Linked DNA regions of Xenopus tropicalis. The protein of the gene in region 2 interacts with the protein of the main gene of each other region in a biochemical or structural test. Links are inferred from orthologs where the notes say so. Each region holds a gene or a part of one and is shown on either strand. Other genes may lie near its edges. The genes, in order: rps6ka5, creb1 and cdk1.

What was found.
Region 1: of the proteins of creb1 (region 2) and rps6ka5, one has a biochemical effect on the other in vitro, tested with the Homo sapiens proteins (3 studies listed by BioGRID, with this or other methods). The link is inferred for Xenopus tropicalis from reciprocal best matches to the Homo sapiens genes CREB1 and RPS6KA5.
Region 3: of the proteins of creb1 (region 2) and cdk1, one has a biochemical effect on the other in vitro, tested with the Homo sapiens proteins (2 studies listed by BioGRID). The link is inferred for Xenopus tropicalis from reciprocal best matches to the Homo sapiens genes CREB1 and CDK1.

The regions. Positions count from the first base shown.
Region 1 is NC_030684.2:86,957,908-86,969,282, forward strand, and holds the start of rps6ka5 (ribosomal protein S6 kinase alpha-5), read right to left. Parts: upstream 5,244-11,375; 5' UTR 4,889-5,243; coding exon 4,831-4,888; intron 1-4,830. UniProt on the Homo sapiens protein: Serine/threonine-protein kinase that is required for the mitogen or stress-induced phosphorylation of the transcription factors CREB1 and ATF1 and for the regulation of the transcription factors RELA, STAT3 and ETV1/ER81, and that contributes to gene activation by histone phosphorylation and functions in the regulation of inflammatory genes.
Region 2 is NC_030685.2:49,765,238-49,776,083, forward strand, and holds part of creb1 (cyclic AMP-responsive element-binding protein 1), read right to left. Parts: intron 8,152-10,846; 5' UTR 8,144-8,151; coding exon 8,030-8,143; intron 7,789-8,029; coding exon 7,642-7,788; intron 4,585-7,641; coding exon 4,484-4,584; intron 3,369-4,483; coding exon 3,226-3,368; intron 2,563-3,225; coding exon 2,380-2,562; intron 1,286-2,379; coding exon 1,135-1,285; intron 1-1,134.
Region 3 is NC_030683.2:16,803,983-16,814,476, reverse strand, and holds the end of cdk1 (cyclin-dependent kinase 1), read right to left. Parts: intron 8,403-10,494; coding exon 8,246-8,402; intron 8,111-8,245; coding exon 7,987-8,110; intron 6,457-7,986; coding exon 6,286-6,456; intron 5,373-6,285; coding exon 5,209-5,372; intron 3,746-5,208; coding exon 3,604-3,745; intron 3,426-3,603; coding exon 3,312-3,425; 3' UTR 3,086-3,311; downstream 1-3,085. UniProt on the Homo sapiens protein: Plays a key role in the control of the eukaryotic cell cycle by modulating the centrosome cycle as well as mitotic onset; promotes G2-M transition via association with multiple interphase cyclins.

The DNA.
Region 1 (11,375 bases), on a different chromosome or scaffold from region 2:
CTGAAAATACTATAAAATACAGAAACATTTCATTATTACTTAAATAAAAATTTAAGTAATTTTCAGCTTCAGCTGTTACAGTTCACAAAATATGATGCTTATTGATTTGCACCTAGACGTTGATCAATTGATTTTATTGGAAATTAAAAGAAATGATTCTTAATGTAATTTAAAAATGATTTTACCTAAGGGGTCTTTCCATAATTTGGATCTTTATACCTTAAGTCTACTAAGAAATCAATAAAATATTAATTAAACCCAATAGGATTATTTTACATCCGGTAGGGATTAATTATATCTTAGTTGGGATCAAATACAAAGCACTGTTTTATTTTTACAGAAAAAAAGGAAATCAGTTTTCAAAATCTGAATTATTTCATTAAAATGGGGTCTATGGGAGACAGGCTTCCCGTAATTCGGGCTTTCTGGATATCAGGTATATCAAAGGATTCCATACCTTTATTACCATTTTTTTAAAATTTGAGCATCTTAAACCATTTCATCCACTGCACCCACTTTCCTGAGCAGGAAGGATTTTCTTAATCTGTTTATAGAGTGGTCCAAGTCCTCTCTTGGCTTCAATCATAATCCCTCACTTGCCTTCTTGGCACACAGCTAGCAGTTACACTTTCACTGCTTAAAAAAAAAGTCAGAACACTGCTACTCTGCCACAAAAACAAATTCTGTATCTGGAGATATAAGGTCACATGGGCACAATGTACTCTGAAATTTCTGTATCCAAATGTACAAAAGTTGGGTAATGCAGAAAGTGACAGAAATTAACGCTCTGGAACCTTTTAATATACCTTTAATATACAGGGGCTGATTCACCAAAGGTTGTTAACACTTAACACATAGTTTTATGCGTTAAAAAGTGTTTGTTAATTAAGTAACGATTCATCAAAGTAATTTTGCATGCGTTACTACTCATATCGCATGAGCAAAATCTCAATTATCGCAAAGCATTATGTCCATCACATTGTGATAATTATCTAATAGAAATAATACTAATGCATAATTCACAGACAAATTTTAAGCGTTAAAAGAATGGAAAATCGCGATAATCAGTGCTAATATTAACACCTCCTAGGTGTGGGCGTTACTCAAAAAACCTTGCGGTTTGGGAGCGTTTGTGAAGACATCATGAAGTTTGCAGTCCGATTTTTGTTGGATTGTGAAGAAGAGAATGAAGTATGTAAATGTCTTAGAGTGATGCATCCTCAAGTTTTCAGGGAACCTGTCATTTTCAGAATGGCAGTTTTCAGAAAGTAACGTAATATTTTTAACGCATTTTTTCAGCCTTTAGTGTGAAATTCAATATAATTTGGTCAATATGGTCATTTAGCTTCAATTTGCAAAACGTTTCTGTTTGGACCATTTCATCCTAATATAAATATACGTTTTGGGGAAAACCCCAAAAAGTTTATTTTGCCGAAAATCTACCAAAATCTTTAAATTAGTATAAAAATAAAATGATTTCAATAACATATCCACTCTATTACTGAAAGCTATTTCAGTTCCCAATAATTGCAACATAATATTTTCTGATACCTTGTAAATAGCCTATTCTATTTCTTTAAAAAAATGCCAAAAGAGAAACAAAATATCTACATAGGTCTCCTTCTGTGTTCTTCCAGTTGAGCACAATGTGTGGTTGTTTCTCTCTGTACTACTATACATCAAATTTACAACTTTGCATCCTCTAATTATAAGAAAAGTTCCATCACTATTATGATGGCAAAGATTAAGGCTCAGATTATGAGGAATGTAAAATGCAGCATACACACTTTCACAACTTCCCTAGTTCACAACTACACTGTGATGGTAACATAGGTCCTAACCCGTATGTTGGCATGAAAATCTGCCAACAGGCCAAGAATTTAAGGAGCCACACATAAAAAGGATTTGTTGACCTTGATCAACTGTCCATGATTATCTGCATCTGAGGGCAGTGACTTGTGATTGAAATTCCAACAATTATAGATTGAGAATTGGTTTGCAGGAAGCAAATTAATAATATCTCTATGTCTAACAGCATATGCACTTGTTGAAGTACAGAAGAAGACTACACACAAATATAGGTTAGGGGAAGGATGCCAATGAATCAGACACAGGATAAGGAAGTATTCCAATAACACACAAACAGGCTAAGGGGAGGTGCCAGTATACACAGTGTGAGATATGTATGCCACTAAAACACAAGGGAAAGATGACAATAACACACAGAGGGGGGATGCCCATGACATATATGCACTAGCTTAAATTGAGATGACAATAGCATATATGCACTGGCTAAGGAAGGAAAGCCAGTATTATATACAAACAGAATAAGTAAGACTGGCTATAAGACACACATGATGAAAAAAAAGATATCAATATAAAAATAAAACACTTGCAGGCTGAGGAAGAAATAGCAAAACACGCATATGGGCTGAGCAAGAGGCAGCAACACATGTATACAGGCTGAGGGAAAGGTAGCAATACACGTATACAGGCTGAGCAAGAGGCAGCAACACATATACAGGCTAAAAGAAAGGCAGCAACACAAACATACAGGCTAAGAGGAAACAGACTGACCAAAAGACAGCAACACACATATACAGGCTGAAGGAAAGGAAGCAACACACACATACAGGCTCAGGGAAAGACAGCAACACACACATACAGGCTCAGGGAAAGACAGCAACACACACATACAGGCTCAGGGAAAGACAGCAACACACACATACAGGCTCAGGGAAAGACAGCAACACACACATACAGGTTTAGGGAAAGACAGCAACACACACATACAGGCTCAGAGAAAGGCAGCAACACACGTATACAGACTGAGGGATAGGCAGTAACACACACTTATAGGCTAAGGGGAAAGGCAGCAACACACACATACAGGCTAAGGGGAAAGGCAGCAACACACACATACAGGCTCAGGGAAAGACAGCAACACACACATACAGGCTCAGGGAAAGACAGCAACACATGTATACAGACTGAGGGATAGGCAGCAACACACACTTATAGGCTAAAGGAAATGCAGCAACACAAACATGTAGGCTAAGGGGAAAGACAGCAACACACACATACAGGCTCAGGGAAAGACAGCAACACACACATACAGGTTTAGGGAAAGACAGCAACACACACATACAGGCTCAGAGAAAGGCAGCAACACACGTATACAGACTGAGGGATAGGCAGTAACACACACTTATAGGCTAAGGGGAAAGGCAGCAACACACACATACAGGCTCAGGGAAAGACAGCAACACACACATACAGGCTCAGGGAAAGACAGCAACACACACATACAGGCTCAGGGAAAGACAGCAACACACACATACAGGCTCAGGGAAAGACAGCAACACACACATACAGGCTCAGGGAAAGACAGCAACACACACATACAGGCTCAGGGAAAGACAGCAACACACACATACAGGCTCAGGGAAAGGCAGCAACACACACATACAGGCTCAGGGAAAGGCAGCAACACACACATACAGGCTCAGGGAAAGGCAGCAACACATGTATACAGACTGAGGGATAGGCAGCAACACACACTTACAGGCTAAAGGAAAGGCAGCAACACAAACATGCAGGCTAAGGGGAAAGGCAGCAACACACACATACAGGCTGACCGAAAGACAGGAACACACATACAGGCTGAGGGGAAAGGCAGCAACACATATACAGGCTGAGTGACACAAATATAAACGTAAAGAGGCCGCAATATACACACACACACATACATGTAGAGAGAGAGAGTGCAAGCAACATAAACAAGTTTGATGGAGAGACATCAACAGACATACATAAGGGCTGAGAAAGAGGCAGAAACACATACAGTCAGGAGAGATAGCAATGTGCCCACAGAGGGGGAAACAAAAAACCACACAATCACACAGAATGAATAAGTAACAGCAACACACACACAGCCTGAAGGAAAGACATACATACACACACATAAGAGCTTAGGGAGAGACCAAAATTTACACATAGGCTAAATGAAAGAAAGCAATACATTCATGCACATCGGCTGAGGGATGGGAATCAATACACACACGCACAAACACGATAAAGAGAAAGCAATCTATACACACAGGCTTCGTAAGAAAAAGTTATTCAAACACAAACAGGCGGTGTGAAATACAGCAATACAGACAGTGTGAGAGAGATACACAACACACTTATATGCAGGTTAAGGGAGGGGCAGCAATACACACAGGCTGAGAAGAAGACAGCAACAAACACACATGCATACAGGATAAGAGGCAGCAATACACACAAACACACACACAGGCTAAAGTACAGAGCAATATATGCACAAAGACTGAAGGACAGACAAAAACACAAACATAAAACTAAAAAGAAAAAGAGCCATTTGACAGGCCCAGGTAGACACAAAAATAACACAAATCCAGCCTGAATGAGAGGCAGCACTACACCCAGACAACACACAGAGCTGTGAGGTTACAGCCATAACACAGAGGGGTGAGGGAACGGCAGCAATATTCACATACAGGGGAGGGACAGCAATAATACACACGGTGCTGCGGTGTTACCAACACACACACACAGAAGGCGGAATGCCAAACACACATACAGGCAGGGGAAGGATGCTAATAAGACATTCACAGATGCAGTACTGCATATAACACACTCGAACTTTCTATAAGAGGTCAAGGGACGGATACAACACTCTTACATAACACATCTCTTCTAAACAGAGGTTGTCAGTAACATTCTACGACTGACGACTGCCTCAGGAAGTCACAAAACATAATTTAGATGACTAATATATAACTTCCCAGGTCCCCTTTGGACGCTTACCTGTCCGCAGTTCGTGCTTCACAGTGAGCAGGTCACCTTCCTGTGAGGGCCCTTCCATGTCCTGTCAAGGCGTGAACCCCAAGATAAGCACCTTGCGTATGTACAGTTTATCTATTGCTATGGTTGACGCTTGCCTGCTTATACACTTCCTACAGTGTGCCGCTCATCACCTTGCACTCCCCTGCCCTTCCAAACCCTGAGCCAACCCGATACAGCCCTCCACTCCGTTCCACTACGGCACGGAGCAACCCAGCGCCCTTCCAGGGGGCTCTACCTAACTTGCCCTGGCATCAACGACCTTATTGGTTAATGCGAAGACAGAAGGTGGAGCTAGGCGCACCCGTACCCCGGAGATTCCCTTCCCAGCAAACTCCAAGGTTGTAACAGAGTAGGGGCGGATCCCCGGCCTAACAACACTTCCAAGCCAGAGCTTCACTGACTGGAGCTATGTAGAAGCACCGCCTATTCACTCTATTCTGATTGGATTTCCCATATAGTCTATGTATACAAGAGTTCCCGCCTTTTCTTTTAACCCAAGGTGTTGGTGAGGATTCTGTATGCGTTGTAAGTGTTTTCTGTAACTGTAGTGTTTAACCCTTTAAGTGCCAGCCGAATTCGTCATTTCAGTTCCCCCCAGTGCCAGACATTTTGTAAACATTCTGTGCTCTCTCAATGTAGGGGCTTTTACTGGGGGCAGGGTTAAGTTTAGGTAGGCAAACTATATATTGTTTTTTTCAGGAGAACCTGAGCTTTCCAAATCTACCTGAGTTTTTGTGTATTTCCACTTCTGGAACAAGATTTAGAGCTTGAAATACAAAAAAAAAAAAGAAAAATGCTATTTTTCATGATATAAGGATTTCTACCAGAAACATATTTTATTTTATGGACAAAAATTCAACTGATTTGGAAAGCCTCATGTCTCCCGAACGTGCCAATACCTGATATGTATAGTTTTATTGAGATTTCTGACTTCTATAGATCAAAAACTCCCAGCAGTAAATTACTAAATTTTCAAAGCATTACAGCAGAATACGGCATACTTTACATTCCAAAGCCAAAAATCCTGGAACATTAGGTTTACCCAAGGAAACCATACATTTTTGAAAACTACACATTCTGACGAATCCGTAATGGGTAACTATGTCTTCCAACTCCTAAGTACCAAACAGCAATGCTTTACTGAATTTAGCATTTTCTATAAAAAATTATGAAAATTCTAAAAAATCACCTCAAATCTTCCACTTTCAAGCACCTTATCTCCCACATAACATTAGGTACCAAGAAAACACACCCTAAATATGAAAGCCAGGGGTCCACTGAACGGTTTGATGCCCATTGTGCATAGGATCACCGATGTATCTGGCATTTAGAAACCCCAAAAGGAAGTTAGTACATACAAATTGCCCAGGAGATCTCTTTTGCTACTGAAAATTCAATACATTTACTGCATTTTCTGTGGGGTAAAAACACAAAAAATACATTGACCCCCCAAAACCATATATTTTTGGAAAGTACACATTCGGACGAATTCAAAATTGGTACCCATGTCTTTCTACTCCAAACTACAGAGTCGCAATGCTTTCCCAAAATTGCCAGTTTTGATGAAATACCTAAAAATCACATCAAATCTTCCACTTTCAAGCACCTTATCTCCCAGATAACATTAGGTACCAAAAGAACAAACGCTAAATATGAAAGCCAAGGGTCCGCTGAACAGTTTGATGCCCATTGTGCATAGGATCACCAATGTATCTGGCATTTAGAGACCCCATAAGGAAGTTAGTGCATACAAATTGCCCAGGAGATCTCTTTAGCTACTGAAAATTCAACACACGTACTGCATTTTCTGTGGGGTAAAAACACAAAAAAATACATTGACCCCCCAAAACCATATATTTTTGGAAAGTACACATTCAGGCGAATTCAAAATTGGTACCCATGTCTTTCTACTCCAAACTACAGAGTCGCAGTGCTTTCCCAAAATTGCTAGTTTTGGTGAAATACCTGAAAATCACATCAAATCTTCCACTTTCAAGCACCTTATCTCCCACATAACATTAGGTACCAAGAAAACACACCCTAAATATGAAAGCCAAGGGTCCGCTGAACAGTTTGATGCCCATTGTGCATAGGATCAGCACTGTATCTGGCATTTAGAGACCCCATAAGGACGTCAGTGCATAGAGATTGCCCCAGAGGTCTCTTTAGCTACTGAAAATTCAACACGTTTACTGCATTTTCTGTGGGGTAAAAACACAAAAAAATACATTGACCCCCCAAAACCATATATTTTTGGAAAGTACACATTCGGGCGAATTCAAAATTGGTACCCATGTCTTTCTACTCCAAACTACAGAGTCGCAGTGCTTTCCCAAAATTGCTAGTTTTGGTGAAATACCTGAAAATCACATCAAATCTTCCACTTTCAAGCACCTTATCTCCCACATAACATTAGGTACCAAGAAAACACACCCTAAATATGAAAGCTAAGGGTCCACTGAACAGTTTGATGCCCATTGTGCATAGGATCACTGATGTATCTGGCATTTAGAGACCCCAAAAGTAAGTTAGTGCATAGAGATTGCCCCAGAGGTCTCTTTAGCTACTGAAAATTCAACACATTTACTGCATTTTCTGTGGGGTAAAAACACAAAAAAATACATTGACCCCCCAAAACCATATATTTTTGGAAAGTACACATTCGGGCGAATTCAAAATTGGTACCCATGTCTTTCTACTCCAAACTACAGAGTCGCAGTGCTTTCCCAAAATTGCTAGTTTTGGTGAAATACCTGAAAATCACATCAAATCTTCCACTTTCAAGCACCTTATCTCCCACATAACATTAGGTACCAAGAAAACACACCCTAAATATGAAAGCCAAGGGTCCACTGAACAGTTTGATGCCCATTGTGCATAGGATCACTGATGTATCTGGCATTTAGAGACCCCAAAAGGAAGTTAGTGCATAGAGATTGCCCCAGAGGTCTCTTTAGCTACTGAAAATTCAACACATTTACTGCATTTTCTGTGGGGTAAAAACACAAAAAAATACATTGACCCCCCAAAACCATATATTTTTGGAAAGTACACATTCGGGCGAATTCAAAATTGGTACCCATGTCTTTCTACTCCAAACTACAGAGTCGCAGTGCTTTCCCAAAATTGCTAGTTTTGGTGAAATACCTGAAAATCACATCAAATCTTCCACTTTCAAGCACCTTATCTCCCACATAACATTAGGTACCAAGAAAACACACCCTAAATATGAAAGCTAAGGGTCCACTGAACAGTTTGATGCCCATTGTGCATAGGATCACTGATGTATCTGGCATTTAGAGACCCCAAAAGGAAGTTAGTGCATAGAGATTGCCCCAGAGGTCTCTTTAGCTACTGAAAATTCAACACATTTACTGCATTTTCTGTGGGGTAAAAACACAAAAAAATACATTGACCCCCCAAAACCATATATTTTTGGAAAGTACACATTCGGGCGAATTCAAAATTGGTACCCATGTCTTTCTACTCCAAACTACAGAGTCGCAGTGCTTTCCCAAAATTGCTAGTTTTGGTGAAATACCTGAAAATCACATCAAATCTTCCACTTTCAAGCACCTTATCTCCCACATAACATTAGGTACCAAGAAAACACACCCTAAATATGAAAGCCAAGGGTCCGCTGAACAGTTTGATGCCCATTGTGCATAGGATCACCACTGTATCTGGCATTTAGAGACCCCATAAGGAAGTTAGTGCATAGAGATTGCCCCAGAGGTCTCTTTAGCTACTGAAAATTCAACACGTTTACTGCATTTTCTGTGGGGTAAAAACACAAAAAAATACATTGACCCCCCAAAACCATATATTTTTGGAAAGTACACATTCGGGCGAATTCAAAATTGGTACCCATGTCTTTCTACTCCAAACTACAGAGTCGCAGTGCTTTCCCAAAATTGCTAGTTTTGGTGAAATACCTGAAAATCACATCAAATCTTCCACTTTCAAGCACCTTATCTCCCACATAACATTAGGTACCAAGAAAACACACCCTAAATATGAAAGCCAAGGGTCCGCTGAACAGTTTGATGCCCATTGTGCATAGGATCACCACTGTATCTGGCATTTAGAGACCCCATAAGGAAGTTAGTGCATAGAGATTGCCCCAGAGGTCTCTTTAGCTACTGAAAATTCAACACATTTACTGCATTTTCTGTGGGGTAAAAACACAAAAAAATACATTGACCCCCCAAAACCATATATTTTTGGAAAGTACACATTCGGGCGAATTCAAAATTGGTACCCATGTCTTTCTACTCCAAACTACAGAGTCGCAGTGCTTTCCCAAAATTGCTAGTTTTGGTGAAATACCTGAAAATCACATCAAATCTTCCACTTTCAAGCACCTTATCTCCCACATAACATTAGGTACCAAGAAAACACACCCTAAATATGAAAGCCAAGGGTCCACTGAACAGTTTGATGCCCATTGTGCATAGGATCACTGATGTATCTGGCATTTAGAGACCCCAAAAGGAAGTTAGTGCATACAAAGTGTATATACTGCAATATAAGCTACCGGCATGTGCATTATGCGGCATAAGACCCCCTAACAGTTAGGAGACTCTAGAAAACCATATATTTTCCGAAAGTACACATTCTGACAAAACAAAAATGGGTAAATACATCTTTCTACTGCAAACTACCACACTACAAAGCTATGCTAAACAGAACGGTTTTTATGACATTTCTGAAAATTGTCACAAAGCTTGCATTTTACCCCATTATGTATCCCCACATTTTGTACCGTATCAACATAAAACATTCTAAATATGAACGCCATGGGTCTACTGAACAGTTTGATGCCCTATATGCATAGATTTACCAAACTATGTGGGGTACAGGGGCACCCAAGCAAAAATAGTGCATATGAATTTTCACATAAGACGCTCTGGCTCATGCAGTTTTTGCACCCGGTATGTGTATTATGCGGCATAAGATCCCCTAACAGTACAGAGACCCTAGAAAACCATATATTTTCCGAAAGTACACATTCTGACAAAACAAAAATGGGTAAATACATCTTTCTACTGCAAACTACCAAACTACAAAGCTATGCTAAACAGAACGGTTTTTATGACATTTCTGAAAATTGTCACAAAGCTTGCATTTTACCCCATTATGTATCCCCACATTTTGTACCGTATCAACATAAAACATTCTAAATATGAACGCCATGGGTCTACTGAACAGTTTGATGCCCTATATGCATAGATTTACCAAACTATGTGGGGTACAGGGGCACCCAAGTAAAAATAGTGCATATGAATTTTCACATAAGACGCTCCGGCTCATGCAGTTTTTGCACCAGGTATGTGTATTATGCGGCATAAGATCCCCTAACAGTACAGAGACCCTAGAAAACCATATATTTTCCGAAAGTACACATTCTGACAAAACAAAAATGAGTAAATACATCTTTCTACTGCAAACTACCAAACTTCAAAGCTATGCTAAACAGAACGGTTTTTATGACATTTCTGAAAATTGTCACAAAGCTTGCATTTTACCCCATTATGTACCCCCACATTTTGTACCGTATCAACATAAAACATTCTAAATATGAACGCCAGGGGCCTACTGAACAGTTTGATGCCCTATATGCATAGATTTACCAAACTATGTGGGGTACAGGGGCACCCAAGTAAAAATAGTGCATATGAATTTTCACATAAGACGCTCCGGCTCATGCAGTTTTTGCACCAGGTATGTGTATTATGCGGCATAAGATCCCCTAACAGTACAGAGACCCTAGAAAACCATATATTTTCCGAAAGTACACATTCTGACAAAACAAAAATGGGTAAATACATCTTTCTACTGCAAACTACCAAACTACAAAGCTATGCTAAACAGAACGGTTTTTATGACATTTCTGAAAATTGTCACAAAGCTTGCATTTTACCCCATTATGTACCCCCACATTTTGTACCGTATCAACATAAAACATTCTAAATATGAACGCCAGGGGCCTACTGAACAGTTTGATGCCCTATATGCATAGATTTACCAAACTATGTGGGGTACAGGGGCACCCAAGTAAAAATAGTGCATATGAATTTTCACATAAGACGCTCCGGCTCATGCAGTTTTTGCACCCGGTATGTGTATTATGCGGCATAAGATCCCCTAACAGTACAGAGACCCTAGAAAACCATATATTTTCCGAAAGTACACATTCTGACAAAACACAAATGGGTAAATACATCTTTCTACTGCAAACTACCAAACTACAAAGCTATGCTAAACAGAACGGTTTTTATGACATTTCTGAAAATTGTCACAAAGCTTGCATTTTACCCCATTATGTACCCCCACATTTAGTAACGTATCAACATAAAACATTCTAACTATGAACGCCAGGGGTCTACTGAACAGTTTGATGCCCAATATGAATAGATTTACCAAACTATGTGGGGTACAGAGGATGCCAAATTGAAATACAGCAGACAAAATGTCCATGTGCAAAGACAAGTAACAAAGAACAA
Region 2 (10,846 bases):
TTGGAGAGAAATCTAGCAGGTTTTAAAGGAGGGTTGAGAATAAAAATTGCGTACTATGACATGACTGAATTTCCTTATTATATTTTATATTGCAATTTAAAGGGATACAATATTAATACTTTACTAGTGTAAAATTTATTTTTCTGCACTGTAGAAGTTTCTTTGCTTGCCTTCCACCTTAATGCAATCTCCTAAAAATGTTTAATTGATAGAGTGCTGTTCATGCAAAAGACAGACATGGTCACAGAGTGAAAAAAAAAATAAATCCTATGACTAGTGTGGCACATAGAAAAATTGAATACTGGCACACACCACAGAAAACGAAATGAATGGTTGGATAGGAATATAGGGGCATTTAAAGCTAAGGCTGAAAATTACAGAGCACCTTCCTTTGTCGCTTGTGACATTTAGGTTTTGAAAGAGAACTTGCTACTAACTTGCAACTAAAAGCTGAAAAAACAAAAAATTGTTTTTGCTAATAAAAAATGCTTGGTATTTTTAAAGGAAAAGTAACGTTGAAAATTTTTAACTAAAAAATCTATTCTACCCTCCCCCAATAATTGCCCTATCCTGAAAACTATTTGTTATTTATAATGCTTTAGAAGAAAATACCTGTAAAAAACTTGGCTTCCAGTCATTTCAACAAAGGCAATATGGCGACGCAGGGAAAGATCAGGGGATATGGCCATGCAGGAGAAAGTATCCGGTGAAGTTTAACTATGCGGCGATCGACTGATCGAGTCTAGCCTTCCTTCTGTATAGGAAGGAGTCAGGCTAGACTCGATCAATAAATCACCGCATAGTTAAACTTCACCCGATACTTTCTCCTGCATGGCCATATCCCCTGAAACTTTCTCTGCGTTGCCATATCGCCTTTGTTGAAATGACCGGAAGCCAAGTTTTTTTACAGGTATTTTCTTCAAAAGCATTATAAATAACAAATAGTTTTCAGGATAGGGCAATTATTGGGGGATGGTAGAATAGATTTTTTAGTTAAAATTTTTAAGCGTCACTTTTCCTTTAATGTGCTATAAAATCTATTAGGGTGGATCATAAGCACTAAATATACATACTTTTTTTTTTAGTGATAATCCCTCTTTAATCTTTGTTTCCAATATAAATAATTGTACGCACCTGTTTTTCATAAGCCTCACTTCTCGTTTTCGTGCAGCCTCTTCAGCAGGCTGGGCAGGAAGTGCAGGAGAAGAAGCCATTACCACTCCTGGTGCAATAGTGCTGGTAGGTGCTGTACGGATCTGGTATGTCTGTACATCTCCTGAGGCAGCTGAGAAGCAATGCATTACAAAATATATTGTATGTATTTAATATAGATCTATTTATGTATTTAGTACAATTTGTACAAGAATGGTACCGTATCTGCCAAATAATCTAGACTTTACATGTGTTAAAGTGGAAACAACTTGATTCAGTCTTTCTGAAGTCACATCTATCTTGATTGCAAAACAAAGGAAGTGACTTTGTGTGCCTATAAGCGCTCATATTTTCATACCAACTGTTATCCCAGTTGGGTCAATGATTGGATAAGCCCGATTCGGCTCGCCAAATAAGAGGATGCAGTAACTAACCCTGCACCAATACAACAGTTACTGCATCTAAAATAGAATAATGTTAGGAATGTAATCTTTATGAAGAGATTAACAACATAATTCTCCAAAAACAAAGTTTACAATATCAATTATAGATAACAAGGTTTTGGGGATTATTGTGTTTCTGGATTTCCATAGGTTGGATAATGGCACTACGTGGCTAACTCTTCTCTGTTCAAGGAGGCAGGACGCTATCAGCTAGAAATCTATTCCTGCCTATTTATACGAGGACAAATACAATATAGCTAGTATTAAAGCTTAAGAAAAGTAGAGCAAAATCCACAAGAAGTCACTGTGCACTGGAAAAGGGTTTTTGGCAGATTTCAGATTCTAGCCATCATTATCATGTAAATCTCCTCATATAGATCAACCACCCTCTATAGGTTTTGCGTTCAGTATCATTGCTAATAATAAAAGGTTTTGATAATGCTGGATATTGCACTCTTCTAAATTTAGGTTTCACCCTAAGTATGGCAAAACTGAAATTATTATGTGGAAATGTGCTTTGGCCAAGCCAATGTATGGCCCCTATATAAGAGGATCACCCAAACAGGGAGTTATTGAATGTAATAATGAGCAGCCATCACTTTAATTACTTTTAAAACGGTAGCTGCATCACAGCTCAAACAAAGCCCAAACTGATGACTGTAGCAGTATACACGAATATAAAAACCCAGTTTTAGGGGCTAAAAATGTCATTGATACTTAATGAGAGAGAAAAATATAATATTCAGAATCTGTGAAAAACAAAGTATCTTGATCTTTATCTTACCTTGGACAACAACTTGATTGCTAGGAACAAGTATCTGCTGTCCATCTGTGGTCTGTGCATATTGTAAAATGGTGGTTCCTGGTTGGGATGCTGTTGTATTAGCCATGGTTAATGTCTGAAGTCCTTGCACTCCATCTGTACCATTGTTAGCAAGCTGTATTGCTCCTCCTTGGGTAATAGCAACTTTAAAATTATAAAAAAAAAAAATCAAGATCAACGCAATTTCAAGAAGATATGCTCAACTGTACATTTTATATATTTAAAGGACTGTCAGTTAATAGAACTTCTCCAGCAGGATAGCAGCTTCCAGTAAATATCAGAATAGCACTCAGTAAGAAATTCAAGTCCAGCTTGGGACTCCTCTGGTTGCGTGGGAGTAGGCAAAACAATAGGTTATCTAAAAACAGTTCTAACGAGTAGCACTGGCTTTACAAAGAGCATTCCAAAAGCTCAGACTTGGGCATAATGCACCAAGATGGCTGCCTACACACCAGTATTACAACTAAAAGAATCCATTCCTTGGTTCAAGAATAAAATTTTAAATAGTAGAGTGAATTATTTGCTATGTAAACAGTGTAATTTAGAAATAAAAAGTACACAATAAAAATCATGACAGAATCCATTTGAGTAAAAAATAGCTTGGACTCTTTAATTTGCCAAAAACAAGGGCCTTAATTGCAATTTCAACCCATATTTGGGTCTTTTGTGGCTACGTGTCCTTTCTTTACTGCCTAAAAAACAAAATATATTCAGCTAATGTAATTAACATCTGATAAATCTTCAGATTTAATCAATGTACAAAAGTAAATTAGGGGGTTTGTATCCTATGACACAAATAGTACTTACTATACTGTCCACTGCTGGTTTGATAGATAGGAGTTGGAACAGTAACTGTTGTGATAGCAGGAGCCGAAGTTTCTTCTTCTGATTTTTCCTCCTCAATTCTTGGTACTCCTGGAGCATCTGAAGACAAGTCATTTAAAATTTTTCTGGAGAAACAAAGGTACAAGTACATTTTATTTAACAAATAATATCTCAGGACTAATGCAACTAAAAAAAGGGTAATAAATTATGGTCTCTCACTAGTTTTTTACAAAATAAATAGCTGCTTGTAATACAAAATGGTCAAAGACAAATATGAAATAAAAGCTTATGGAGTATCAGTTTTTTAACATGTATGTTTTTCTTAAACTTTTCAGTACGATTTTGGAAATCCAACATGTCACCCTTGTGTTGTACTATGAATAAACATGTGCAGTAAGAGAAAAAAGAGCAAACAATTAGAGAATAACACATGAATTTAAAGGACGCTGCCAGTGAGAGATTATATATCTATAATGAAAACCAAAGAAGCCTAAGAACAATAAAATACTGGCACTGCAAAGGTGAAGACACACGGAGTGATTCGTCGCTGCAATGACTAATCGGGAAGCTGCAAATAGTGCATGACTGGTCACAGCAACTCATATTAACCTATGGCAGCTAAATCGCTATGATTCGTTGCCACGTCAGAATTATTAAAACTTGCGCCAACTAATCGCCCCATGTGCCCTTGCCCTTAATATTCCAAAGAAAGGCAATGATAAAAGTGTTGTCTGACAGGGGATATAGATATTAGCAAAAAGAAAAGGAATCACCTGACCCCTGAATGATGCACTCCTTACAGTGTAAAACACTTGCACATGACTTACTAAAAAAGACACAAAGGGTAGGGAATAGACTTCAAAGATAAATTGGGGCCCCTGTTCCAAATAAAATGCAATAATAAATATATTAAGTACCCAGGTACAAAGATCATAGCATTGTCAGTGCAGAATAGTTGGCATTCAAATTTATTATTAAACGCGCAGTGTTGGAGTCATGTTCCTGCCTGACATGAATGTAAGTATGTGCAATTTGTAATTACTATGGAATAATCAGCCAAACATCCTTTAGTTATATAATGCAATCCAGCATTTTAAGTATTAGGCAGATGCTGGTCAAGCAGGACAGGGATGTGCAAATGATTCCCTGAAACAAAAACATACAATGTAAACCCTCAGCTCAAGCAACTAAATGTTAAATTAATAACCAAGTATTTGTTATATATCAACTTAGAAGTTACCTGTATGATGGTCTCCTGGACAAAATTTCTCTGCGTTTTTGAGAGTCAGTAACACTGTCTACTGATTCTTGAGAATCTTCGCTTTCAGCAATAGTGGAAATCTGTTCATGCAACAAATACTCCAGTTAAATAGTTAATAAAGATTTGTGCCTTAGAATATATACTGAATACATTTTTTGTGTGTATTCTAAATTTGCAGGTTAAAGGAAAACTATACCGCCAGAAAGAATACTTAACAAACAGATAGGTCACTTAACATAATATAACCTATTAAAGAATCTTGCCAAACTGGAATATATATATCAGTAAATATTGCTTTTTTACATCCTTTCCCTTGAGCCACCATTTAGTGAGGGTCTGTGTGCTCCCTCAGAGATCACATGACCAGAAATAATGCAGCTCTAACTGTAACAAGAAGTGTGGAAGCAAAAGGTAGAACTCTGTCCATTAATTGGCTGATGTGGCCTTGCATGTATGTGTGCACTGTAAATTCTATTATCTCAGGAGGCGGCCCTTGATTCTTAAAATCAGGGCTGTGGAGTCGGAGGCAATTTTGGGTATCTGGAACCGACTCTGACTCCTACTAAATTTAAACGGGAATAAAAAAAAAAATAAAGCAAGTTTAAATGTCCCAATTCACAAACAGTCAAAATTAATTACTTCTCTGCTATAAGAATAAAGCCCAATGCACACAGTGCATAAACGAACACGCTGAGTGACCATGAAGCATGCTTTTCATTGACTGTATGAATGTATAAAATACATTAGCATATTAAAAACAGAGGAGTCGGAGTCGTGGAGTCGGAAGTATCAGAAACTGAGGAGTCGGGAGTCAGAGAATTTATCTACCGACTCCACAGCCCTGCTTAAAATGTAAATTTTCTATTTAGGAGTACCTAATAACACATACTACTATAATTTTTATATAGACCTACATTGCTTGGGGGTATAGTTTTCCTTTAATGTAGGGTTTCACGTGACTTTTCCCTGGAATCTTTTTTAGGAAAGTCAGATACCCCAACAACATCTTTACAAAAAAAACAGACAAGACATCATGTGTTTCTATTGATAGAGGACTCAGTGCAGCATTACTGTAAGTGCTTATGGCTGTATTTTCATAGACTTTCTGATAAAGCTTACTTAGTTTTTACCTTTCCTTCTCCATTAAAGTACCTAAATTTTTATTGTTCGTACTAAATTAGGGTGGTGCATTTCAAAACTGGATACGCTATCAAACACATTCTTTAGAATTACAGTTTAATACAGCCTTTCCTTGCTTTTCTAAGGCAACACTTGAAACTCATTCATTAGACACACAAAATGATAAAATTAATATTTAGGGTTACAAGTTTATGGGTATTTTTATTTGCATTGTCCCCATAAGGGCTCTGGCACACGGGGAGATTAGTCGCCCGCGACAAATCTCCCTTGTCACAGGCAACTAATCTCCCCAAACTGCCATCCCAGCGCCGAAAATGTAAGTCGCCCGCGAACAGGGAGATTTGTCACGTGCGACTAATCTCCCCGTGTGCCAGAGCCCTAAAAAGAAGCTGAAGTGGGTGCAACATTTTGACAAACTTCACTAAAGCACACCTTTCAAGTGAGACTAGATTCATAGTTGAAAACTTGAAGAGCTAAAGTTTCCCATTTTGCACTACTGTAATGTATTGTACTGCTTTTATATAGTTTTGTCCAGAACTACCATGATGAGGTGGGGCTATAAAACAACAACTGATTCAATGCCTTACTTTGCCAGTAATCAGTTTCTGCAAAGTACTGACTGCTTTGTGGTCACTATCTTATCTGTTGATGTCATACACATGACTGAACATCTGTAAATGCATGCTTCTAACTCCTCTACATCAGAAAGCTTTAAATTTTAAATGCACAAGCAAACTTCTCAGATTGTTTCTATGCATACATTTAGTCTAAGCCCCAGGGATCAAGTAATAGGCAGTAGTGATGTCACCCAAGTACTTGAAAACCATGCGCTGATTATGAGCTGCACTAGAAACTGTGTACTATAGGGCACAATAGTAAGGGCCTATGAATTTCTATTTAAGAGCCCTACCTGTTGGAAATGTATTAAAATTAGGCTTTTCATATCCTTTGATGAAATCAAGTTTTATCATTACTCTTTGAGCATCTTTCTAGTTAGGCCTGCCCTATTCATTTTCTAGTCTCTCATTCAAACTAATGCCTGGTTACTAGGGTAAACTGCATCCTACCAAATAAGTCAACCTCATTAAAAACATTTTACTAAATCATCTTTATTATTTAAAATAAATTATTTTTAATATAAGAGTTGTGATGTGCACTCGAGTTGCACATCACAGACTTAACCTGGGATTGCTAAAACCCCTGCCTGTATTATGTGCAGAATGCCAAAGAAGGAAGTTAAGGACTGAAGCTCTACTACACTTTTCTTCCCCCTCCGGCTTAATTTTCATATAATTGATCTGACTGGCTAAATCTTGCTAGCTGAGGGCAGTGACACACAGGGACAAATCTACATTACCGCAGGCGACTAATCTCCCCACAATGCTATCCCACCGGCAAAAATGTAAATCACCGGAGGGATGGCACACGCATTGCTTTGTTTTCCCAAAATCGCATCTCAAGAAAACGAAGCAACGTGTATGCCATTCCACCAGCAATTTACATTCTTGCAGGTGGGACGGCATTGAAGGGAGATTAGTAGGGGTGACTAATCTCCCCGTGTGTCACTAACCTACTTAAGTTGAGTGAATAATTTTAACCAAACCAACATTATTGCATTTTTATATGATCCCGACAGATTCACAAAATCAACAATTAGTCTGGACCTTCACTTCAAATTCACTCAAAACAATCTGTATGGCTTTTAGTTTGAATAACATTATTAAATCAGAGCTCAGCTAAGGTTATGATATTTGTGCATGGTACAAAGTGTAAAAAGCAATCCAGAACCTGTACATATAAGAAGTTGCTCACCAAGGGTGTCCCCCTTATATCTTTGGCTTCAAGAATCTCGGTTTTGGAACCTATAATCTATAAGATCTAAGCTGCAACTATTTTAAATGAGCAATTAAAGTTAATAGGCAACACATAATAAGTGATGTTTATTTAGTGCAAAGACAATGTTCTTTATAGAATTTAAACTCACAAAAACTACTTACTTGCACTGTTTGTACTTGTGGGGACTGTATGACAGAAGGCTGTGCAGCTTGGATAACTCCATGAACTTGAACTGTCTGTCCATTGGGTAACTGAACTAATGTTACTGTAGGAGCAGATGAGGTTGCATGTGCAGCCGCCATGGATACCTATTTTATAGAGAAAAAGCAAAACAGAATTAGTGTTCTAAATATTTTAATAAAGGAACATTGTCAGCTTCCACAAAGCGGTGTTTAAGGGAAAAAAGCCATAATGGCAGGAGAATTAAGCAGATAGTGGTACCAGTAATGCATGGCAAACAAAAAAAAGCTGCATTTTATGATGAATTTGAATGTTTGAGCCTTAATTAGTTGCATGGCGTCAATAAGAAAGCAATTAACCACTCTATACCTGTGCTAATGTTGCAATCTGTGGTTGGGTCTGTATTGTCATCTGTTGGGCTTCTGCCTCTGTGACAGCGGCATCTCCACTCTGCTGTGTCTCTGCACCAGATTCCATGGTCATTTAGTTACCTGGAAATTGTAGTGAATAAAGTCTTTTACCCTTACCTGGAATTACCACAGAACTAAACATGGACCACACATACCCAGCCATGTCATTTTCCCCTAAATTTAGATATTAGAAGACACATTTACTAATATACAGAAGTACTAAAGTGTACTAGTAGTGCAGTTGTCAAACTTGTAAACTGATTATAATTACTCTGATTGGCAACTAGACTGGTGTTATTTAACACCTATTATTAAACACCTGTTATTAAATCAGCCTTTAAAGAGCACCTACAGGGTATATAAAAAGTTTTCAAACCCCTATAAAAAAAAAAAAAAAAAAAAAAAAAAAACAAGATAAATCAATCCTGTCAAAGTATTTCACCTGTATTGCAAAAATTGCCATCTATACAAGTAGCAAAAATGTATACAAAAAAACTAGTTGCATTACAATGCACACTATTTAATAATCAAGTCAGTTTGACAAATTTAGAAAAATTTTGGCCAAAAATTGCCAAACTAACAGACTCAAGTCTGAGCTCTGTAATAATATCAAAAGGTTCTTCAACCACGTATTAGTTTGGAGGGTGTGCAACCAGGTTTTTGTATGGATTATTTCTTTTCTCTTTTCACTAAACTGTTTCTGATTAGCTTGCAACTTCTTTGTATAAATTGCAATAAATGTGGAATAAGTTCCGGCAAGATTTATCTTAGTTACTTTTTTTATTAAACAAAAACCTGCCATTTTGCAGGGGTGTGTTAAGTTTTTATATCCACTGTATTGGGGGGAGGGCTAGTAGAGAACATAATTGTCAAAAAGTTATGCTGGGATGCTGGACATGTTTCGCCACAAGGAAGTGCTTAATGAAAGGGCTACTTGGATTTCTCATTATGCGCATGCTTGTGATGTCACGCACATGCGCATAGAAAACAAGTTTGGACACAACCACATTTACATGCTTTTAGTGGCTGATCTCCCCCCCAGTTGGGGCACAGAACTCACTATCAGCATTTTTTTCAACAATTTTCCTTTGATAAGTGCTCTTTAATTTCTCCGATCTATGAAAAGGTTTCTAAAGATAATTAAAGAATGACAGAACATTTACAACCATCCCTAGCCCATGCATTTATAAGCTTATTCCATGGAAACCTGCAGTGCACAGCTTTTTTCCTGGCCCAGCTCAATACAAAAGCTCAGTAATATATAAAATTAAACTGTCACAGAGTATGTAGTCATGGAGGCGCAAAATGATTAATGCAGGATTTAACAGGATTCAAACAAGACTGCAATATTCCATGATCTGAGAAAAAACAAACAAACAAAAAAACGCAACAATAAATGTATTTAAAAAACCTGAATATATGCAAGAATACTTTTTGAAAACTCAAATAGTTAAGATTTGTTTAAAAAAAAAAAAGTTTGCATGGAAAAACTTAATGGGAACTGCAATGTGAATGAATTCCAATTGTCTTGAATTCCTATTATTAAAGATTTCAAGAAACCAATTTTTTCTCCAATTCATTAAAATTATTGAAAATGAATGAAACTGTGTTTTTTGTTTGCCTGCAAATTATTTTTCTGTGACAAAACAATACTGTCACTATTTTGCCAGAGTTTTTTTCTTAAACATACCAGTGTTTATGCCGCTGATTTTCTCCAAAACCTGATCCACTCAGCTACAGGAATACCACATTTATTAAGAAAGACAATTACGCTTAACTTAGCTTATAACAGCATCAAAAACACTAGTTATATTAAGCCCAAAAGCATTCACAGACGCTCAGCATTTTGAAAATAATAAATCGCTTCCAGAAAGTATATTTAAGTTTAAAAAAATGAACAAAAACCGTTTTCTGTAGTGTTTTGGTAGTATGGAATGACCTCGTATTATCTAAAGCTCTACTGCAAAATGGATCAGGTAGAGGCTTTTATTAAAAAATCATAAAGAAGAGCGCATGGCATGCATACTACCATTAACACTGATTTTTACTTTACTTGAAACATTTAACGGGCAGGACTAAAAAAAAAAAATGTAATGAATTAAATTTATCTTAAAGGTCCTTTAATTTACTGTATAAATTCCAATTTTAATCTCAGCTAAAAATACTAACGAACAAGCTCCCTAAAATAGGAGAGAAAATATTAAAAGGCTGCAAGCCATAGAGAAGTGCCATGCTGCACTATGGAAAATAGAGCCAAACAATCACTTTTGACATTGCTGCTCTCAATTTTTGAGATTTTTATTTACCCATAAAACCAAAAATAGTAACATTAATTACCTCTTGTGACATGACAACAGTTGGCTTGTGCAGTACCTTCAATAAAGTAGATTAAAGTGCAAAGGTACCAGTATCTCCTGAGGAAGTGTGGTGAACCATGTGAAATGTGTAGAGGATCTCAGAAGTTTCCAGGATTTTAGAGACTTTTCATTCAATGCTTATATGAATCTCTGTTTGTGAGCATGCCATTTGGGTTTCTATTGGTCTCTTATTAAAACTTTAATACACTATTTTGGCACACTTTGTTTTTAGTGGGTATCCACAGAGAAGGTCCCTGAAAGAAAGATTGATGTTTGACTTGGCTATATATGCATCTGTAGATTGTAAGCTCTTTTGGGCAGGGCCCTCTTCACCTCTTGTATCGGTTATTGATTGCTTTATATGTTACTCTGTATGTCCAATGTATGTAACCCACTTATTGTACAGCGCTGCGGAATAT
Region 3 (10,494 bases), on a different chromosome or scaffold from region 2:
ACAGGACTACGATAAAAACGGCAGACGAACCATAGATGAAAACAACAATAAGGTCACAACAATTCAGGAATAATTTTCCCTCACATCAATCGCAAAGCCACATATATTAGTATCGATCCCAGTAATCTATACTCACCCCTCTATAAATAGTATTGTGTTTTAGTTACAGAAATTACACCATTCAAAAAAAAGCAGAAATCTTAAGAAATCGCATGAATCACAACACGAATAACACATAAATCCATTTCCACTAACGCCAGAAGCCAACAATGGCCACATACAATAAATTAAGAACAACATCCCTAGTACACATACAGCAAAACCCTCGATCGAACTCCCACAACAACACAAGCTGGCACCCCCCCCTATCCCCACAATTCGGCACCAAAGAGAGATATATTCCGCGGATAACATGTCTTTGAATCCCACATGTCCTCACTCTAGTATTTCCTAAGCATGAACGAAATATGGGCTGCTTAACACCTTCTACGCAAACCCTCTATAGTCTCTGCTAACCTAGAATATTATAATTTAAAGCTAATACAACAACAGATAATTAAATCCAAACACAATCACTTAGTTTATGCTCCAGATCATACACTCACTATCATTCTAAGTTGGAAGATACATAGTACGCCAGACTCTCTCAAAAATGAGTAATCCTCAATTAAATAAACAGAAGAAAAAAATAGCAAGAGCATTACATTTAAACCAAAATACTTTATACATAGAACAACCCAGCATCACCTCGAAATAAAGCGCGTTCATGCTCCACCACCATATTATATGAGCAGTAACCCTATTAAATAAAGGATTCACATGTATTGTAAATTCATTAACTCATCAAATTTAACACCAACGCAAGTTCGCTACGGGAAACTCAACACTTAATTATAAAGTACCCCCTCTACAAAAATTATCAACATGTCACAATCCCGTCTCATTTAAACACAATAATCCCTACAGAAGAAATAAAACTGGAAATCATCTTAAATCAACTCCATCGCTCAAAATTAAACCCCCAACTCTTACACGACCTCATATATCTCCCCCCACCCACCTAACGGTACTAAATATATATTAATCAACGACTACCATATAAAGGACAACCACTATACAACTGCGATGTCCCAACCTTCACTTTATAAACTAAGACCCGAGACTTAATTAACTACTCATGCACTTGAAGTTCCGCTCCCCATACCTCTTAAGTAGCTATCAAATACCCGAACTGACCCTGATTCTAATATCACAAGAAAAGGAATATTATATCACCATAGTATCTCCACTCACTTTTGTTTATAAGATGACATTTTTACATTAATCTTCCTACGCTAATATATACAAACACACTTCCCACCACACACACCCGGCACACAGATCAAAACAAACAACAACAATCAGCACCCACTTCTCACTGCCACACTAAAACCCACCACAATCCAAGACCCCATCTCCCCACTCTCCTCACACCACACACCAAAGTTCCTACATCCGATAACTATCACTCAGTAATCGCAAGAGCTGATCATAAACAGCACCCAACCCCTCACTTATAACCGTAAAATCTGTCATCCCCTACTTATAAATAAATTATCCCAGTTCTTACCCATACACAGAACAGGCCGAACTCACCCTCTCCCCTTACACCAACTCTAAACCTAAACCAATAGAACTGTTTCTCTCCCACAGATAAGCCGCACACCGCCACTACACTCATCCATTATCTTATACCAAATAAACCCATCCTCAGAACATCAACTCACAGTACATCTCCTCTCACCTCTTCCACTCACCCCACCCACCACAAATACGCGCCCCGCACCCACCTTCCAACCCTCATCTCACTACCTTAACCACATTCTCACCCCACATACACCCTTACCTCCCCAAATAAGGCCCCTCAACCCCCCCCACGAAAGCCCTACCCCACACCCCTCCGCTCTACCTCATACCTCCACTCACCTTGGATCAACAGTACACGCACACACTCGCCCTCCTCCACTAAGACATATAACTAGGAATCCACCTCCTACCCCTAACATACCCAACTCCTAATACCCTACCACCCCCACTATAGCCCTCTCACCTGTCCCCCCTGAATACCTCCAACAATACAGAAAGTCCAAACTTATTAATCTTAGTTGGCAGCACCAACTCAGCCCACATCACCACACATCACATTCCTACACATCTCACTACAACCACGTCTACCCACCTCCCCCACAAACAAAGGCAACCCAATCACCAATTCAATATCTACCACCACAGACATACCAAAGAAGCCTTCGGAATCATTTAACCAATTCAATATAAAACCCAATTTAGATACTTCTAAGCCCCCCAAATATAGAAGCCACCTTAATATATCTTACGTTGGCATCACCTCAATACTATTTATCTATACACAGACGAAAAAGAATCATAACCAGGCAGTCGCAATATAAAAAAAAAAAAAAAAACTATTGCTCTGAGGCTACAATTTTATTACTTTTTAGTAAATATCTTTCTATGCAGGCCTTCTACAATTCATATGCCCATATTTAAACCACTGCCTGGTTGCTAGGTTAAGACCCTAGCAACCATATAGCTGCTAAAATACCAAAATAGAAAGCTGCAAACAAAAGCTAAACAGAAAAACCTTCATTTTTAAGACTAATTGCAAATAGTCCTCTTTTGACTCTTTTCAGCTTTCAAATGAAGATCACTGACCCCGGCATCCAAAAAACTATTGCTCTGTGAGGCTACAATTTTACGGTTATTCTTAATTTTCATTACCTAACTTTCTATTCATTTATTACTCGCCTATTTATATTCCAGTCTCTCATTCAAACTGCTGCCTGGTTGCTATGGTAAAGACACTAAAGCAACCAGATAGCTGTTTAAAACCAAAACTGCTAAACAAAGCTAAATGAAAAACCACCAAAAATAAAATATGAAGACCAATTGCAAACTGTCTTAGAATACCGGTATACACAATACTAAATGTTTATTTAATGGTGAACTACCCACTTAATGTGGCATAGGACAGACAATAACCCCCACCCCAATAAAAAAATAATAAAGCAAGCTGACCGTATCAGGAATATATAATAAAGCTTTATTGGAAATGAAATGTCTGTGTGGGAAATGCATTTATACACAGGTTTGGTCAGTCCATATTTACATTTAGAGTGTGGTGCTTTAAGGTAAGTACTTCGGGCGCCGAGACACATACACACATATACATCAACGTACAGACAGTAAAAAAAACGAAAGTGATTTACATCAGATTCCCACCCAGAAACCCAAGAGAAGAGACGCTCAGTGTGTTAATTTCTAATCTGATTGGCAGGAAGGCTGGACTTATCCAAGTCATCAAAGTAGGGGTGCAGCAACGCTTTACGCGCAGAAATTCTCTTGGCGGGATCGTAGATTAGCATTTTCTGTAAAAGTAGCAAGAAAAAAGGAGTCAGTCTCAGAGCAAACCCACTTTTATCCCCATCTTATACAAGGTAAGCCCCCCCCAACACACCCCTTTATAAAGCGCTGCTCTCCGTCCCCTGAATACAGCCCCACAGTCGCCTATAACCCAATCGCCATTAGATATCCCCCCATACTCACAGACAGCAGGTCCAGCCCATCCTTATCGATATTTTTCACATTCGCCGACAGATTTCCGCCTTTCCATTTGGGGAATGTGTTCTTGTAATCTTGTAAAGACTCCACTTCAGGCCACACTTCATTGTTGGGCGTTCCCAGAGCTCTGCAAAATGCCAATCAGTTGCTTTAATTGCAGCAATTAGGGGTTTCTGTGATTCTGAAGGGGTTTTTATTGCATTTAGATGGGTCCTGGCCCAGACTAGGTAGAGACTCCCACTGACCACATCCCCGCACTTAAAATAAAGCTAATATTTTAGTTGCATATTTGTTTTTGGGGTTTCAGAAGATTATAAATCTCATATTGGGCTCCTAATGGTTCAGGACAGCAGATGCATCAGAAATATATAGGGCTAAAGTGCACAAGCATATCCTCTGCCTGTGGAAAGGTGTTCACGTTTCAGAATGCTAGCGAATGGCCAATTAGCAACTTTTGGACTCTCTCAAGCCTTTAGGTTTTTAGCTGATTTGGTCAGTGGCCCCAACATATTGCTCTAAAGCAGGGGTGCGGTCCACCAGAAGTTCGTGGGGGATCGACTGGTGGACCGCGATCAACTTTTTGGCCACCCCTGCTCTAAAGCTACTGTGATGCCCACCCAGAAGGCATTAGCACCGTCAGACCACATCAACAAGCCAATGTGGCTCCTGATCCAACGGTAAATCAAACCTGCCCGAACAAGGGCGAAAGTATTCAGTGCATGGTTGCTAGGGTAACTGACCAGATAGCGCTACAAGTACATTTAAGGTAGTTAACCTTAAAAATAACCGATCATGACGTAGAGTGATGTTATAAGACTAATTGGTCTTTGTTTAATTTGCGGCTTTTGGATTATTTAACTTTATCATTTAGAACTCTCTAGTTTGAAATTCAGCAAAGACCAATTACTCAACATCACTCTACATCACGATCCATTAACGGCTTCAGCCACACAAGCGTAAAGGCCATTTTCCAGCTGTAAATTCTCGGACTGCAGTGTATAAACAAGTTTTACTTTAAAAAAAAAAAAAAAAAAAATGTTCTTCATATAAGGGTTTCAGTGAAATGCTGCCCACCAATTAAAACTGAGCGTTCAAAGTCCTGTATCAGTGAATTATACTCCTCTAGATATAGAAGAATTGTGCTTTAAAAAAAAAAAAAAAAAAAAAAAAAAGTGTGTTTCGGACTAATTTATTGAGAAATTCCACATAAACCCCACTAGTCCCGCCCATCTGTTCCACTTCCTGCTGGGGAGGAGAGCCAACAGCTCTCATTTCACCGCACTGTAGGATAGGAACCAATCAGCAGCTAGACTGACCCGATAGGGAATTGAAGCCTGGGCTGTGATTGGCTCTCCCCGTCCTACTGTGCTTCAGACGGAGACCGTTAGGACACGCCCACCTTACATTTGAAACATGGACAGAGAACCTATAGGATCTATAGGGAGCTCCAATAAAGGGGCCATTGTTACAGATAGGATTAATGTTTAGCCCAAAGTGAAACCAGCACCGTATATTATTCATAATTGCCTACAAAATTATAGGGGTTTTTTCTATTTATCCAATACGTCTTATTTAAAGATAGAAAGGTACCTGAATATCCTGAAGAGCTGGTCAATTTCAGAGTCGCCATGGAAGAGGGGTTTCTTTGTGGCAATCTCAGCGAAAATGGTTCCTATGCTCCATACGTCGACCGGTGTGGAATATCGGACTGACCCCAACAGCACTTCTGGGGCTCTGTACCATAACGTCACTACCTGTAACCAGACACTGGGTTATTCTGATATTCCCGTCACAGTCAGCAGCCCCCCCCCCCATATAAACCCATTCTCATCAACTATTGCTTTATAGCAACAGTATAATAAAGGCTTTATCACCAGGGGTAGGAAGTGGTGAAAACTGCACCAGCCTAGGGTAATATTGCATAAAAGTCCCAATAATCCTAGCTACTCCGCTGGGTGGCATGCAAGTGTAATAGACAAAATCCAAACTTCTGCTCAATTGTACAGAAAGCAAGATGGCGGCGTGGCACTGTGTGTGCAGTTTTCATTGGAGAGGAGCCCCAGCAATTATAAGCACTGGAGGCTGCCTAGCAAGTTGCCCCCCACTCCCCCATGATGAAGTCTTTCCTTCTCTTTAAGGCAGTTTTTACAGCTATAAATTACAGCAATGATCCCCAACCAGTGGCTTGTGAGGAACTTGTTGCTCCTCAACCCCTTGGATGTTGCTCCCAGTGTCCCCAAAGCCAGTGCTTATTTTGAATTTCTGGTAAGCAGGCAAGTTTTGATTGAATAAAACCCCAGTGTAATCGCCAGACAGCCTTTTGTAGGCTTCCAGTCAACATAGGGGCTACCAAATAGCCAATTATAGTTCTCAGTGGCACCTTCAGGAACTTTTTTCCATGCTTGTTTTGCTCCCCAAAACTTTTCCCATTTGAATGTGGCTCACAGGTATAAGGTTGGGGATCCCTGAATTACAGGATAACTGGGTGCAATGGGGGGGGGGGGATGTAAAACCTGCACAAAGAGACCCAGTAATTGACCCTGAGGAAAGGCTCTCCCCTACAGCCAGTTTGTTGGACCTCAACTGGTTGCAGAGAAAAGCAGTGTGAAGGATGGGGGGGGGGGGGGGGGGGGGGTTTCAGATGGAGGAATAATACCGATAACTCACCTCATGTGTGTAAACCCGAACCGGAATGCCAAAAGCTCTGGCAAGGCCAAAATCTGCCAACTTTATCACTCCTTTGCTGTCGATCAGCAGGTTTTGAGGCTTCAGATCCCTGTGTAACACTCTTCTGGAGTGGCAAAATACAATCCCTTGTAGGATCTGGTAGAGGTAACTCTGGGGGAAGGGAAACAAACCAGAACCGTTAAAAAGCATATATATATTATATATATATATATATATATATATATATATATATATATATATATATATATATATATATATATATATATATATTGTATATGTATATTTTAGGATAATATATGGCTGAATGCCTGACAAAACTGTGGCTGTGAATTCATAGATCTTTAGAGAAGAGACTTCCCTTTGTAGTCCAAGGGCAATGGCCCATGGGGAGATTAGTTGCCCGCGGTTATCTCTTTGCAACCGCAAGCGACTAATCGGGCAACTAATAGTTTAGGCCCCGACTCTGCAGTCAACATTTTTCAGTTCAAATATATGAAAGCCTGGTTGCAAATTGCTATTCTGTAGTTCTAGGATATTAAAAAAAAGTTAAAGACTTGCAGTTTAATGTTTAAGGTACATTTACTTCAGAATAAGATGATTAAACATAATGTCTGTGGGGCTTTCATGACAAATATGGGCAGTGCATTTGGTTTGTAGGGGCCCCATTGTCATCCATGGGTATACTAACAGTATGGTACAGTGGAATGTTTCATTCCAATTGGCTTTCAAGCTGCTACAATTTTGTTACTTTTAATGACGTATCTTTCTGTTCAGCCCCTCTCCTGTTCATCTTTTCATTCACTCCACTGCCTGGTTGCTTTTTAATGTAATATGGTTTGGAACAGTTCCCTGAGCCCCGCCCCCTGTTCCCCTGCTGATCTGGCTGGCTACTTTGTGACTCAAATAAAATGTAACAGTAGTTGCCTGTCCTCAGCCTGCATCCTCCCAATCCCACAATTCCCTGCACACGTGATGTCAATAAGGAGGGGAACATCCCAGTGCAATGCATTGTGGGTTATGTAGTCCCTGCATGTCATCTGTAAGCTGTGGAGAAGTTGTTACAATTTGTAATGTTTTAGTCCCTCCTCCCCTGCCAGGATTTCCAGTGATGCAAACAGGGAAGAACTGTTTTGCAGCTGGATTTCAGCATATAAATATGGGATTTATTCAGACTGTTTGAAGGAACATAACAGTAGGTATATTAGGGGCTTGTATTGTGTGGGGCTCTTTAACCTATTTTGGTTCAGAAGCCGGAGTTCCCCTTTAAACAAGGGAGGATACTGCCCCTTTAAAAAATACCAAAACCAAAACTTTGGATTATGCAGCAGCGCCATGCCCTTGACGAGAGATCCTGATGATGGCAGCTGTCCAGAATTATTTATTTTTGGAGCTACAGTGGCCCGGAATTACAGAACTAGTTGACTACAGAGTAACCAGGTACCTGCTTGCTGCTAGTAATTGTTTGCTAAATCCATAACAGTTCACCCCCCTCCACACTTCCCCAGGCTACAACAAGGAGATATACAGCAAGTGCTGTTCTGACTGGATGCCACTGGCCCCCATCATGGCACCATTTCCCTAAATGGGAGGCGGGCATTTTCTGGAGATACACAGCCCCATTGCGTAACATGCATGGCTGCACCATTAGGCAATATTCCTAAGAAAGAAACTGCTGATTACCTTAACAAGCATTGTATCTATATACTGGCCGCTGGGTATTGAGTCTAAATACTTCTTCAGATCCATGGAGAGAAACTCAAAGATGAGGTACAACCTTGAGTCTTGCATCAGGACATCTAGAAGGCTGGAAAGAAAAAAGAAACGCGTCAGCGCCACGGCTGTTTCCTGGAATTATTTCCCCCTTCAACCTATAGCCAATCAGCAGCTTTATAAATAACCAATGCTTAAACTCTGTAGGGGGAAGCAGGGTATCACTTACCAAACTATGTTGGGGTGCTGAAGTTCTTTCAGTAGTGATATTTCTCTAATCGCTGTGCTTGGGACGCCCTCCTCTTCGTTTTCCAACCGAATTTTCTTCATTGCAACCACCTGGCCTGTTGCTTTATGGCGACCCTTGTACACAACCCCGTATGTGCCTGGGAGGAACAGAAAGATAGGATGAGGCCCCCCAGATTCCAATAGGCCTTGTCTGTAGGGTGCAGAAATAAAGCCCCTATCCATCCCTTGAGGTCATGAGATGTGCTTGGTTACTATACACAGGCCCTTATACACCCCCATTGCTCAGAATATCTGACAGTCTGTATAAGTTGCCTCTCCGTACTTGTATAGATAACATCGTATGAACCTTTGTACCATTTTCAGTGGAAAACTGATCCCAGCCAATATGCATGTGCAGGTATGGGATCCCTTATCTGGAAACCAGTTATCCAGAAAGGTCTGAATTACGGGAAGGCTATCTCCTATAAACTCCATTATAAGCAAATAATTCTAATTTTTAAAAAGGATTCCCTGTTCTCTGTAATAATAATAAAACAGTACCTGTACTTGATCCCAACTAAGATATAATTACCCCTTATTGGGGCAGAACAACCCTATTGGGTTTATTTAATGGTTAAATGATTCCCTTTTCTCTGTAATAATAAAACAGTACCTGTACTTGATCCCAACTAAGATATAATTACCCCTTATTGGGGGCAGAACAGCCCTATTGGGTTTATTTCATGGTTAAATGATTCCCTTTTCTCTGTAATAATAAAACAGTACCTGTACTTGATCCCAACTAAGATATAATTACCCCTTATTGGGGGCAGAACAGCCCTATTGGGTTTATTTCATGGTTAAATGATTCCCTTTTCTCTGTAATAAGAAAACAGTACCTGTACTTGATCCCAACTAAGATATAATTACCCCTTATTGGGGGCAGAACAGCCCTATTGGGTTTATTTCATGGTTAAATGATTCCTTTTTCTCTGTAATAATAAAACAGTACCTGTACTTGATCCCAACTAAGATATAATTACCCCTTATTGGGGGCAGAACAGCCCTATTGGGTTTATTTAATGGTTAAATGATTCCCTTTTCTCTGTAATAATAAAACAGTACCTGTACTTGATCCCAACTAAGATATAATTACCCCTTATTGGGGGCAGAACATCCCTATTGGGTTTATTTCATGGTTAAATGATTCCCTTTTCTCTGTAATAATAATAAAACAGTATCTAGTATTGGGTTTATTTAATATTTAAATGATTTTTAGCAGATTTAAGTCATGGATAGGCCCTTATCCGGAAAACCTCAGGTCCCGAGCATTCTGGATAACAGGTCCCATACCCTAACTATGGTTAGCATTCAATTTGGGGGAACAGGGCAAGCTGCTATGGTGCATCAGGAGATTAGGAAGTAAAGGGCAACTGCTGTTCCTACACTTCCTGCTGTGTAAGCCCCCTAGCCCAGCGCCCTTCCTTTGGGCCTGAAGTGCCAGTACGCTTTCAAGCCAAGTACAGATACAAGGCAATGCAGAAAATGGAGAGTGGGGGGGACAGAAACCCATGAACTGTAGGAGCTTTACCCAGACAAGGCAAGGAATATACAAAAAACACACACCTACAATTAAAATAAATCATGGACTACATAGTTAGAGATCACGTCACAACCCCCGAATGTAAAAAATGAGCCAGCTGGGCACCCTGGTTGGCACCAAATATGCTCAGAATGCATGTTGTTCAGGCTGGACATAGATCCCTAATTATTTCTCACCAACATCATTGGCAAAATAAATTTAGATTCCATATGTCCCATGAAAAAAGCCCAGTGTGTATTTCGCCCTTTCAGGCTTCCTTGGCAGCACTTTGAGAAATGGGCAAGGAAAATGCCCATTTATATCCATTTTCTGTATATGACCCTGGGAGGTTCCCACACCTTTTGGGTTGACCCGGTATATAGCTTAGTACATATTGAGTGCATCAGGATATTGGGCGATTCTTCTCTTTATAGCTAGGCAATCTAGACAAAGAGGGTAATAAGGGGATGAACAGGGGCCTTTGTTGGATTGTACTAGTGCAGAGATAGAGAAACTAGAGCAGGGGGCTGCAGTTCTATAGCTGAGTAAGGGCACTGCAGGCCTCTGCTTTAGTACAAACTAATGTGGCTTTAGTTTCCCTTTAATGCCATTGATCTCCCTGACACTGAGTAAATCTGGTATAGACTGGCCATGTATATGCCAAATTC